Linked DNA regions of Caenorhabditis elegans. The protein of the gene in region 2 purifies or fractionates together with the protein of the main gene of each other region. This does not show direct contact. Each region holds a gene or a part of one and is shown on either strand. Other genes may lie near its edges.

Region 1 (2,604 bases), on a different chromosome or scaffold from region 2:
GTACACGGTTACTGCTGAAAAGTTGATTGAGACAATGACTGCTGGGGGGAAAGTTAAACATGCTGGAATAACAGAACCACCTAGCAACACAGCAAACACCATCATGTCCGAGTCCTTGGCATCAATTAATGCGAGATACAAGAAGAGTTGTGAAAGAAATGCTGTTTTCATGAATACCTTGCACGGTACTATTGAATTCAACAAGAAACAAGTATCTGTAGATAAAACCCTCTCTACAAGTTCAATAAGCCAGGATGATGCGACCGAGTAAGAATTTCGAAACTGATTTTTCTCTAACGAGTTTTATTTTTAGCGCTCCGAATCAAATCATTTTTGCTCCAACAATCACTTCTCATGTTTTCAAAGGCCGATCTCTGAAAAGACAGTATGCAGTGAAAAATAAGGCACTTGAAACTTTTGAGGAAGATCGGAAGGATTACACTCGAGAGGCTGGAGAAGAAACTAGTGGATTGTAATTTTTTGTATTGAACTAGAAAAATAAAGCCTTAATTTCTTTTATCTAACAAACGTTGAAGAAAAAACACATATTTTCACAAATGAATATGCTTATCGATGTATTAAGCTTCGAGGGCAGCGAGTCTCTTCTTTTCGGCAACCTTAGCCTTTGTATCCTTCGAGACATAATTGGCTGGAACAATGTACCCGAAAATGTAGCGACGTCCAATCATTTCTCCGACAAAGAACCAAAAGACTACCTCGAGGGCAACTGCCGAGTAGACGAGACTTTCCTGAAGTTATTTTTTATTGAGTGTTGTTTCAGCGTGTAACAAATTACCTTGATACTAAGGTTGACATATTGCTTGGTCTCAATAAACTTCTGGAGCTTAGCCCAGTCCGCCTTGATAGCTGGGATGTCAGCAGACCGGGGTGGAGCCAGCTCGTGCTTTCCAACAGCCTTGAGAATAGCGAGACGGCGTGGGAACTGCTGAGCTTGATGACGGTAAAGAGCTCCAAAGGTGTTGGCCAACTTTTCGAAGAAGCTCAGCTTGTGGGTCGCCATCGCTGAAAATTTCGAGTGTGAATGAGAGAATGTGTTTCGAAATTAATAAGGCAATAAAATTGGGAGACGAGGGAATCAATTATTGAATAGATCATTAAAATTTATTTGTTCCTTAAATGAAACTTAATAGAAAGGGAATAATGTTGCCCATGAGTGCTCATTCATTAAAAAAATCCCCCAAAATACAAGCAGCCCGTTTTAATCAAGACAGTAGTATATTTGAATCGTGGTGGGACCCTTTAAGCAATCGAGAAAGAAATCCTTGGTTTTTTTAATTCAGCGAGGCTGTCCGCAGTTGAGCGGCACGGTGTTTGCGGACTTTTACAAACCGTATCTCATTGAGTTCCAAGGCGCCGTGGAAATTTTTTTTGTTTTAATTTTCATGAATGATTAGATTAATTAATATTAAGTCAGTTTTGAACGGTATTTTTGTTCAATTTTCTATAATACTTTCAGATGATAAATCTTCGAAGATTTGTGCACACATCGTGTCGGCTGGAACGAGGAAGAACAGCGTTCTACAACGTTCATCAAAAAGTGGGTGGAAAAAAAAACAAAACTAGCCACAATTTGATATATCATTTTCAGGTCACCGACCCAGCCAAGCAAGATCCGGATTACTTTGAGAAAAAAGCGAGAGAACTGCCACTGGGTGAGTATATTCAAGTACCGAGATATATATCTCTATTAAGTGATTTTCAGATCAAAACTACATCGATGCACTTACGAAGCTTTACTACGAAAAAATTGGCAGTGAACGCGATTTGGGTTTGAAAGCAGCTGATAATTTGGTATGATAATCAAGAGTTTTATAGATATAAGCAATATTCTTGCAGATTCTCGAAAAAACCGAATTCGGATTGCCTCGTATTGAAAAATCGAAAACTCGTGCGAAATATGAAGATTTAGATGTTCTTTCGAATGCTCCAGAGTCTGTCAAAAAGATTTTTAGTGTTGAAATGGCGACGAGAAAAGAGTTGTCACAAGAATGGAAACAAAGTCTTATCAAATCAGTAAGGCAGCATTCTCTCGATGAAAATAGTTTGGAAATGAAAAGTTTGTTTGAGAAATAATCACAAAATATTATCTAAAATTAATTTCAGTTGCCTGGCTAACGGCTTTAATTCGGCATTGGTCTCTTCTTGTTAATGACATTGGACAGGAAACCAAAAAAGTAGTTTAACATTTTAAAAAGGCAATATTTCTAACATTTATTGCAGAAGCCAACATGGCTCACCCATCGAATCTGGCTCGTAATCAATGAACGCCGTAAAGCTCTTCGTATTTTACGTGAACGTAATGAGACTGCATTCGAGAAAACAATTGCCGCTCTGAAAATTTCGTATCATGTACCGAAACAGCCAGCTCATGTGAAAACTAGAAAGGTAAAGTTTGCAAATTGATAACTTTAAACACTAAAAAAACAACAAATTTCAGGCATGGGCCGAAGCACAATTAAAGTTGAGAGTTGAAAATGAAAAAGAGAAGCGATTGGAAGAATTGCACGAAAAGTACGATAAAGAAGTTGAAGAGCATAAAAGAGAGACACAAGAGAAGAGGAAAGCATTGAATAATGAATTGGA
Region 2 (2,847 bases):
CTGGTTTGCTGTAGCTCATTTTGTCGCTCTCATCGCGTTGTATTGGTACATTGGAAGAGTCTGCCCAACTTGTGGTCCGGGAATTTCAACTTTCTCGTTATGTCACATGTTCAAAACAGTGTTTTCTTCATTAGATTCTTTGCGATCAGGTGCCACAACAATTTTGCCAGAGGTGAGAACGAATTTTTGAACCAGGATTAGTTTCTTTTTTTCAGACAACATTTACGAGCGGCGTATCGAGTTCCCAACAAAACGAGGCCAATCCAGATTATCAAGACAGACGACAATATCATCACTCGGAGAATGTTTCTCATCAATTAGATTAATCTTATTAACAATAGAAACTATAATTCATCCTTAAAACCTTAAATCGCTCCAATTTTGTTAATAAAAACTTTAGAAAATATACGTTTCCAGAAGAGAAAGTTTCACAATAAACTTACAATTATATGAATTAATGTTTTCAATAGAATGTGATTTTGCACAATTTAAAACGTACATTCAAAGTCACAACTGTTTATTACAACTGCGAACAATAACAATAACAGAAGATCACCACTTAGATGTTGGATGGGTAGAGAAGCTGAAAGAAATCAATGTGCAATTGAATAAAACTAGAATTATCTTACCACGCGGATTCTCTTTCCGAGGGCACTTGGTGGGATGTTGTGATGGAACTTGGCTCTAACGGCTCCGGCGTTTCCGTGTGGGCGAGTGATCTTTCCCCAGATAGCACGGGTACGGGTGGCGACGGTGTGTCCGGTTTTCTAAAATGAAAAAAAAATTAAACTGAAAAATATATGTGCGATACCAAAGTCTTGTTGTGGGCCTTGTACAAGTAGACGACGCGCTTTCCGGCGTAGAAACCAGCATCTTCCTTGTTGAAGACTCCCTCAAGCTTCAAAAGCGAGGTGTGCTCGGATTGGGTGCGAAGTCCTCTCTTGAATCCGGTGAAGATGGCTTTGACGTAAAGACTGAAAATTAATTTATTATTATTTTGTTGATGTCCTGATTTGTGAATTGCTGATCCGAGAAAATGGAAAAAAATGCCGCGGATTAGATAAGACTAGAAATAGTTAGGATAATGCTACTATACATTTTTTAAAGACTATATGAAGAATTTGCAGTCTGAATATTTTTCAGCAGAGCTCAAAAATATCCAGCGGTCACTGATTAAAAAAAAAAAGCAAAAACATACCGTCCAGTAGTTGGGGCCGATGGTCTTCTAGCAACAGCGGTGTCAGCCATTTTTACCTGAAACGAAAATTAATTTAGTGAAGAAGTTTAAAGTGGACGGAGAAACGAAATAGCGACGAAATAACAAATGAACATTTTTCAGATAACTGTTTTAACAATTTTTATGAGACTGGAGAATAATTGCGAAGAATAAGTAAGTTGAAACTTTTTACAAAAAATCGAGATTTAACGAAGTCCTAAAATCAAAAAGTGGTTTTTCGTAAATGATCCAAGTAAGAGAACAGCGGGGAATAAGATAAACATGATAATATTGATTTTATTACAAAAATATCCATTTTCTGCTCAAAAAATTCGTAGGCCAGCATGAAAATTGGTAAAAGAAAAGAAAAAATTCCGTAAAACGAGTCGAGGCGCAAAATAACTACGGTAGAAATGCCTGCACATCTAAACGTTAAAGCGGAGTGTCGTAGTGCGTGTTGTTTAGCAAATTGCAAAAAATATTGTTTTGTTTTTGCTTTCCTGTTTTTTTATATAATAGTTTCTTACGGAATTTGCTTGCGCTTGACAATTGAATAAAATACTCATTTTTAGTTCTACTGAACGAGAAAGCCGAATGTAATGGGAATCAGGCCTAATTTTGCAGAAGACGGTGAGAAAATGAATATATCATCAAATAAACCTCCTAATAGTTCCAGTTTATGGTGACAAAGAAAGGCGAAGTGCTGATGATGAACATGTTGAATACTCCGAAAGCTCACTGGCCGCAAGACGATCAGCAAATGTTTTGAAATTGAAGCAACTGAAAGAAGCTCAGCCTATGATAACTCCAGCGTATGGCGGATTCATTCATCATGAAAGCTCTGATAATGTAATTTTCATGAAGAAGTTGAAAAACAATACAGTTTTGCAGGTTGCCGCCATTGATAAAGATCTAGATTTCGAGTATGGTGACGGTGATGCAGGAATTCGTGAAATGGCAGAACTTTACAGTTATTCTGAAATAGAAGAGTTCGGTATTAACATCAGCAACTGGAAGGAATATATAGAGGAATCATATGCAAGCGATTTTACAACAGGAAAATAGTTATTTTTCTTTTACAGGACGGCAAGCACGAACAGTTTCCATCGACATTCGAAGAATTTAGTGCTGTCCAAAAAAATTATGTTATTCAAGACCTTTGCTCTCGAATGGAAAGTGCAGATTTGGAAGTTCGTTTGAAATCAGCTCGTATAATTCTCTTTCTGCTCCAGGTTTGTCTCTCATTTGTTATTCGATATATATTTATTTAAATTTCAGGGATCAGCAACAGACTTTGGATGTTTAGAAAATGAGGAAATTGAATATCAGTATGATCAAAAATTGTTGATGAATGTCCCTATTCGAAAAACCAAAGAAATGGACCCTGAGGGCCCTTCAATGGTCTACCATCGTGCAATCGAGAATTCTTTCATTTGTTATAAGAACGGCGTTTACCAGGTATATCTTTATAATTTTCAATCATTGTTTTAAAAATGTACATTTTCAGGCGTTGTGTACTCTGTTGATGACAGAAATTAAAGAACCATTTGAGAGCCCACCGAACGACGGGAGAATTTCAAAAGCAAGCTCAAGAAGTAGCAGGAATGCCAGTTTAGCCGATCTCTCGGATT
Region 3 (3,139 bases), on a different chromosome or scaffold from region 2:
TTCTTACATTTTAACTATTTTCAGATGCGGTTTCTACACCCACCTGTCATTCTTTTATTACTGGTGCCCGTTTCTATGGCTATCATTCAGTGTACTCACTACAGAGTCCCACAAGGACAACCGATTCCGAAGGCTGAGCGAAACGTGAGTTCAACTGCTATTTGTATTGATAAGATTTTGCATTGCTTCAGCCAAGATGCCATTCGAAAGCAGAATATTGTGTGAAGGTCACCGGAAGCAGCGTAGGAACTAATCTTCCGTTCATTTCGGGCCGATGCGAGCATGCTGGTGAATGCAAGGACCACGGAAATGACTGCTTCACCAGAACCGACACTCAAGGAAAAGAGGAAGAAATCTGTTGCAGCTCTGGAAACTTCTCAAACCACGGATCAACCACTCCGCTTTTCACTTCTATCGCACTTTTCATCACATTGCTTATTATGTTTTGTTGAAGTCAATTTTAGTAATAAACTCGCCAAGCTATAAATTTCGAACAATTTTTTAAACAACATTTCATTAAAAACAAAACAACGTTTTACTTTTGGGCCTTCTTCAGTTTGGCGAGCTCCACTCGGACGATTCTGTTTCTCATCTGCTTGGCCTTCATGAGCTTGTATCTCTCGAAGTCGGTGAGCTTGGCTCTCTGCAAGTAAAAATGGTTAAAGTGAGCCGAAAATGCTAATTTTAATACAAAAACCAAGCTAACTTTAAAAATATCGGAAATAGTGACTTACGATAGCTCTTTGAGCGATCTTCTTGGCCCATTGAGTCTTCTGGAAGTTCTCGGTGACCTTGGCGGCATCGAAAGCTGCCTTAACTCCCTTGGTGCGTTGTCCAACACGGAGCTTGAGGACGAACTTGGTGAGCTGAAGATCCTTCAAGTTTCTGACGGTGCGAGTGACATCGGAGGATGGTCCATCGATTTGAACCTGAAAATAACAATTAGAAGCCTGTATTTATGTTTTCTTGGGGCTACGTGTTTGCTTAAAACAAACGCTCAGCTAAATTTATATCGATTATATTCGAAACAATTTCAAAAGGGAAGTTGTGATTAATCATAAATTAACAATCTAATTACTAATTGTTCAGTAAATCACTTTAACGAGCATATTTCAGTGATGATTTCACTATTTAATGATTCAGAGCTATGCTTTCCGATTTTTGCATTTTACAAACATTTCTGATCGCATTGATAATCTAAACGTTTTAAAAAGTTTAAGTAAAATTCAATAAATCTGCTATACATTTTTTTTTCTTAATTAATAAATGACTTACTCTGTTTCCGTCGATAACGTTGACGATGGCAGCAAGCTTGCCTTGGTCTTTGCCGGAGGCGATGAAGACGACGCGCCCAATTTGAACGACACGGTTGAAGACCATGTTTACTGAAAATTAAATAATAAATCAAAATTATAACGCGTACATTGAGAAGTGAAGAAACACCGAAAAAATTGACTTCACCAGCTAAAACGATATATTTTGAGCAAAAACTTATGATTTTAGTATTAATCGATAGACAAACTGGTTCTGAATTTTTCTTATATCGTTTTTATCACAGAAACAACCGAAAAATATCAAAAATTTGCTGAAAAAGAAGAAAATTTGGGAAAAAAATCGCAAAATGAGTAAGACAGCCATAGGCTACGGTGACAATTTCGTGGCGAGACCCACATGGGGCGGGACACGTGCAAGTATGCGGCGCACCCAACGCAACTGCGGCGCAGTTTATCTCATCTTTTTCATTGTAGGAAGGGGAACTTTGCTCAATTGTTTGCTCTTATGTAATTTCAGTGATTAATGTATGTATTTGTACTGAACCTGTATGAATTTCATTAAACCGGTGAATTTTCAAAAAAGTCGTGTTCATATTTTAGGAAAAAGCAACTTAGTCCAGTTTTTCGATATAAATTGCATTTTGTAAATTAATACAGGATGCATGGTAAAGTTTTATTACTGAAAACAAAATAAATAAAAACAATTCTGCGATATTCAGTAAACATAACGGGAATCAATTAATTTAACTGCATCATCTTCTGCCATTTGATTCATAGCATCGCGCAATCGGGAAATTGATGAGTCTTCAAGTTGTTCAAATTGGTCCAAAAGAATCATAGTCGGGCTTGAATCGTCTCCCGATGAGCAAATAGAAATAAGTTCCACCATGTGATCACAATTGAGTTGTTGTGCCAATCTTTGCCATTTGCACTGATCATCAAATATTTTTGCAACGCGAATTCGGGTCAAATAATCTAAATTGCAGACCGAATCACTAAGCTTCGGATTCCGATCCCATTCACTTCGACGCCTTCGTGTTCCCGACGATGTTGAGGGTCCCGGCTGTTGCTCATCTTCAGATTCAGATGTGGATATTCTCGAAACACGTGGAGCCATGGAGTCAGTTTCAGCGAGAAGAGTTTGAGCGTCTACAAAAACGGATCTAATTTCAAAAAATCTTTCAGAAAACATACCATTTAATATTTCTTCTCTAGATCTCTTCACAACTCTGTGCCGCCCACTCTCTTCACCTGGAGCCTGATCTGGATGAGATCTCCCAAATAAGGGAGATCTAGAAATAGCTAAATCATTAGGAACACCAAAAGCTTCTTTCTTGGGTAGTTCGGGTCTATCTCCATTTATAATGTTTTGAATAACACTATCTTCACTATCTGCCAAGCATATTCCTTTAGAATTTTGTCTATTCGGATCAGCTCCATTATCTAAAAGAAGGCCAATCACTGGATAGTTAACGTTTTTTACAGCCAAGCTCAATGCAGTCTCTCCAGATTCATCTTCTATATTTGTTCCTGATCCTCTCTGAAAAAATATTAAATTTAAAACAATGTTTTTCTATGTACAGTTACCTCAACCAAAAGCTGAATAGTCTCAAAATCATTCATTTCAATTGCGTGCATCAACGCATTTCTTTTCTTTTCAGTATCCAAAAAATCAATCAATGCTCCCGCTTCAATGAGCATCTCAATCAACGACAGCTTCAACCTTCTTACTGCCACGTGAATCGGTGCAAATCCCTCCGAATTCAGCTGATTCACATCAAACCGTTGACCTCTAGATGGTTCTAATATTTCTTTGAAAATTGATTCATTGTATGCATCTCCAAGATAATGTAGAGCCTGAGAAG
Region 4 (3,204 bases), 1.5 Mb from region 2:
TTCCAGTACCGTCCGGAGTTAGGAAATTGTTTTACAAGACTTTCGTAAAAATCTCGTTCTTGGTCAATCGGTCGTGACTGAAAAATGAACGGAATAGACGTCGATTCAATTTGTTGTCAAATGTCTACCTGATGTTCTCGGAGCAGTAAATTCCACGCGTCTACGTCGAATGGATTTGTTTCAATCCGACGCTCTGGGTTACGCATGCTCAACCCAGACATCTTCTGAAAATAAATAGCAATACTATCTTGTTCAAATCAAGGATAATTTCATAGAATGTGAAATTGTGCAAACACAGTGCATCAAATTTGACGCGCAATGCAGACCGAAAGTGGAAAATGAGGAAACTCGCCAAAACATCAGATACATTTTCTCAAATGGATAGAAGACCCTTTAAATAGCTTTTTCTGTACTATTACTCTTGTTTACTTATTACTGGAATTTCCAGATAGCATTAAAATATTTTCTTTGAAAATGAATCGAAGCCAAAACAAATGGAAAAGAATCAACAATTTATTTGTAATTAATAACAATTTAGTTGACGGTCTCGTCAGTGTGCTTTCCCTTGAGGATTCCAGTGACGCGGGAACGTCCGGCAGCCTTGCGCTCAACGAGGGCACGACGATCCTTATCGAGCTTCAGCTTGGTGATAGCGACCTGAACATAATTTGGGTTAAAGAACGAACTCGGTCACTTCAAAATATAATAAACTTTTCCTAGTCCGAATGCAACATTAAGAATCATGGAACTCACAAACCTGACAGTTGTGATGAGTCGATGTGCACCGGAACTAGTTTATACAAACCTCACCTTCGAAGGGTGGATTCCGATGTGCACAGTGGATCCGTTAGCCTTCTCGCGGGTGATCTTGTCGATGTGGATAACGAACTTCTTACGGTAGCATCTGAGGACACGTCCAGTGTTTCCCTTATGGCGTCCGCGCATAACGACGACCTCATCATCGGTTCTGAAATCAAAAATTGTTTTAAACTTATGGCTAACAAAGCGAAAATATGTTTCAGCGTCATTGCAAAAAGAGTAACATTCATTTCTCCATATTGTCCAAACCGTACGTGAAAATTTCAACGTACGGGACTACTTAATGGAAACAGTAAAGTTTTTCTATTTAAAAAAACCAACCTGATTGGAATAGCACGGATTCCGTGCTTGGTGCGGAGCTCCTTGGTGAGTGGGGCAGACATGATGCGTCTGCGCTCGTGGGATGGAGCGTTGAAGTGGGCCTTGCGGCTCTTTCCGGAATCGCTGGAGACGAACGGATTGACCTTCATTATTACCTGAAAAAATAAATATTATATTATGTAACAATAATAAAATTACGGTGGTAGAAAGTATAATTCAAATTCGAGAATAAAAAATATTCTCGAATTACAAGGAGAGCACACATGCAGGTTGAAAACTCATTAATGTTAGAGACAATTACATGCTTGAAAATAAAAAATACCGACAAAATTCCTAAAAAAATTTAGGCCAGTGAGAAAAACGTCGAGGAAAATTTAGTTTGAGGCAGCCGACTACGATTTGAGGGGAGATCGCTGCGAGACCCACCGCAGGGGAAACGGCATGCGCCTTTAATATAAGTTTAAATTTTGCAAGGAATTTATTGCGCTTTGAGGATTTTCGAATATTTATTCAAGGAAACATACTTTAATAATGAAGCCAGATATCAAAGATCGTGAATACATGTATCGGCTGATTATTGGGTAAGTTATCTCGCGCTAAACAAGCAAAACTAAAAAAGTTCATACTTTCAAAAACTTATTTCAGGCAGCTTTTCTACGATGGTCATCAACAAATTGCCGTCAACCTCGCAAATACTTTGGGATGTTCTGCTCCAGCTCCGCCGCCTTCAGATAAATTGTTCAGACTGGTCACAATTGCAAAGCAATTTGTAGAGGATCCAGATTACAAAGCCGAAGAAAAATCCTCGCCGGTAAGTTTCATTTTTTACGATTTGGTCACAAAAACGTCACAAAATGCCTGAAACTATCTAATAATTTTGTATTTTAAAGATGCAATTCGAACCCGTCTCTTCGGGCTTGGATCTCGAATACGACGCTGATGTGCAGCCAGTTTCTTCCGAGCCATCGGAGTATGAGACCATCTACTTGACGGTTCACAAAGCTCCTTGTAGAGCAGCAGCGTTCAATTCGGATGGTTCCTTAGTGGCAACAGGTTCAGCAGATTGCTCGATCAAAATTATGGATGTTGAGAGAATTCTTGCCCGCGAGAAAGAGCACAGAGAAATGAACGAAAATGGTCCAGATGCGCACCATCCGGTGATAAGAACTCTGTATGATCATGTTGATGTTAGTTTTTCGAAAAAAAAAACGTTCATAATATCTAAGTTGCATTTTTAGGACGTTAATACTGTGATCTTCCATCCAAGAGACTCAATTCTTATCTCCGGATCGAATGATAAGACTGTGAAGTTATTTGATTTCTCAAAAACTGCTGTTAAAAAGGCGATGAAAACGTTGTCGGTAAGTTCTCTGATTTGGAAGAAAACATTTCTTAGAAGTTTATAAAGCCACAATGTTGAGAATAAGTACATACAAAGTAAAAGATAAAGTTTATTTGGAAATTATTTAAAAGAATATACGAATTTCGAGAAATTCCTAAAAATTATTGATATCATAACAATATAAATAACTGAAGCATAAATATTAAAAATAAATTACAGGAAGTATACCCAGTGCGTGCACTCTCGTGTCACCCAGGTGGTGAATTTCTTCTTGTTGCAACGGATCATCCTACTGTTCGTCTCTACAACATTGAAACAGCTCAGGCATATGCTTCAGCGAATCCAGATGATCAACATACTGAATCTGTAACAGATGTTCATTATTCTGAAAATGCACGGCTCTATGTAACGGCTTCAAAGGATGGGCACGTAAAGATATGGGATGGTGTGTCAAACAGATGTGTAGAGACATTCAAAAGAGCTCACGATGGTTCATCAATCTGCTCAGCCAAATTTACAAAGAATGGAAAATACATATTAACAAGTGGAATGGATAGTATTGTGAAACTATGGGAACTGAGTACTAATCGGTGTTTGATTGTCTATACGGGAGCAGGAGCTACTGGAGCACAGGATTTTGCCACAAACGCTTCATTTAACCACAATGAAGATTACGGTTAGTTCTTAACTGTTTTCGTTAATAACGCGTCGAAGAGTGTTTC

The links.
Region 1: the proteins of rpl-35A (region 2) and asg-1 fractionate together in Caenorhabditis elegans (co-fractionation; one large-scale study listed by BioGRID). This does not show direct contact.
Region 3: the proteins of rpl-35A (region 2) and rpl-14 fractionate together in Caenorhabditis elegans (co-fractionation; one large-scale study listed by BioGRID). This does not show direct contact.
Region 4: the proteins of rpl-35A (region 2) and rpl-26 fractionate together in Caenorhabditis elegans (co-fractionation; one large-scale study listed by BioGRID). This does not show direct contact.

What each region holds. Positions count from the first base shown.
Region 1 is NC_003279.8:8,691,365-8,693,968, reverse strand, and holds asg-1 (putative ATP synthase subunit g 1, mitochondrial), read right to left. Parts: upstream 1,024-2,604; 5' UTR 1,022-1,023; coding exon 797-1,021; intron 750-796; coding exon 579-749; 3' UTR 501-578; downstream 1-500. Other genes in the region: K07A12.5 (Pre-mRNA-splicing factor SYF2), read left to right, coding at 1-267, 314-476; mrps-15 (Small ribosomal subunit protein uS15m), read left to right, coding at 1,478-1,558, 1,610-1,673, 1,724-1,812, 1,858-2,077, 2,125-2,195, 2,242-2,406, 2,459-2,604. UniProt on the Caenorhabditis elegans protein: Mitochondrial membrane ATP synthase (F(1)F(0) ATP synthase or Complex V) produces ATP from ADP in the presence of a proton gradient across the membrane which is generated by electron transport complexes of the respiratory chain.
Region 2 is NC_003280.10:7,103,970-7,106,816, reverse strand, and holds rpl-35A (Large ribosomal subunit protein eL33), read right to left. Parts: upstream 1,255-2,847; 5' UTR 1,249-1,254; coding exon 1,199-1,248; intron 975-1,198; coding exon 812-974; intron 768-811; coding exon 630-767; intron 584-629; coding exon 560-583; 3' UTR 501-559; downstream 1-500. Other genes in the region: F10E7.9 (Amino acid permease/ SLC12A domain-containing protein), read left to right, coding at 1-172, 216-326; farl-11 (DUF3402 domain-containing protein), read left to right, coding at 1,816-1,846, 1,887-2,065, 2,108-2,254, 2,299-2,448, 2,495-2,674, 2,724-2,847.
Region 3 is NC_003279.8:9,687,443-9,690,581, reverse strand, and holds rpl-14 (Large ribosomal subunit protein eL14), read right to left. Parts: upstream 1,386-3,139; 5' UTR 1,381-1,385; coding exon 1,276-1,380; intron 930-1,275; coding exon 735-929; intron 644-734; coding exon 536-643; 3' UTR 501-535; downstream 1-500. Other genes in the region: nssp-7 (Activin_recp domain-containing protein), read left to right, coding at 25-144, 192-452; ikb-1 (Death domain-containing protein), read right to left, coding at 1,990-2,423, 2,469-2,814, 2,862-3,131.
Region 4 is NC_003280.10:8,600,878-8,604,081, reverse strand, and holds rpl-26 (Large ribosomal subunit protein uL24), read right to left. Parts: upstream 1,296-3,204; 5' UTR 1,290-1,295; coding exon 1,141-1,289; intron 1,112-1,140; exon of another isoform or gene 979-1,111; intron 968-978; coding exon 811-967; coding exon of another isoform or gene 796-810; exon of another isoform or gene 658-795; coding exon 535-657; 3' UTR 501-534; downstream 1-500. Other genes in the region: suf-1 (Suppressor of forked domain-containing protein), read right to left, coding at 1-77, 129-221; cpf-1 (Cleavage stimulation factor 50 kDa subunit), read left to right, coding at 1,672-1,721, 1,786-1,951, 2,031-2,327, 2,379-2,501, 2,702-3,158.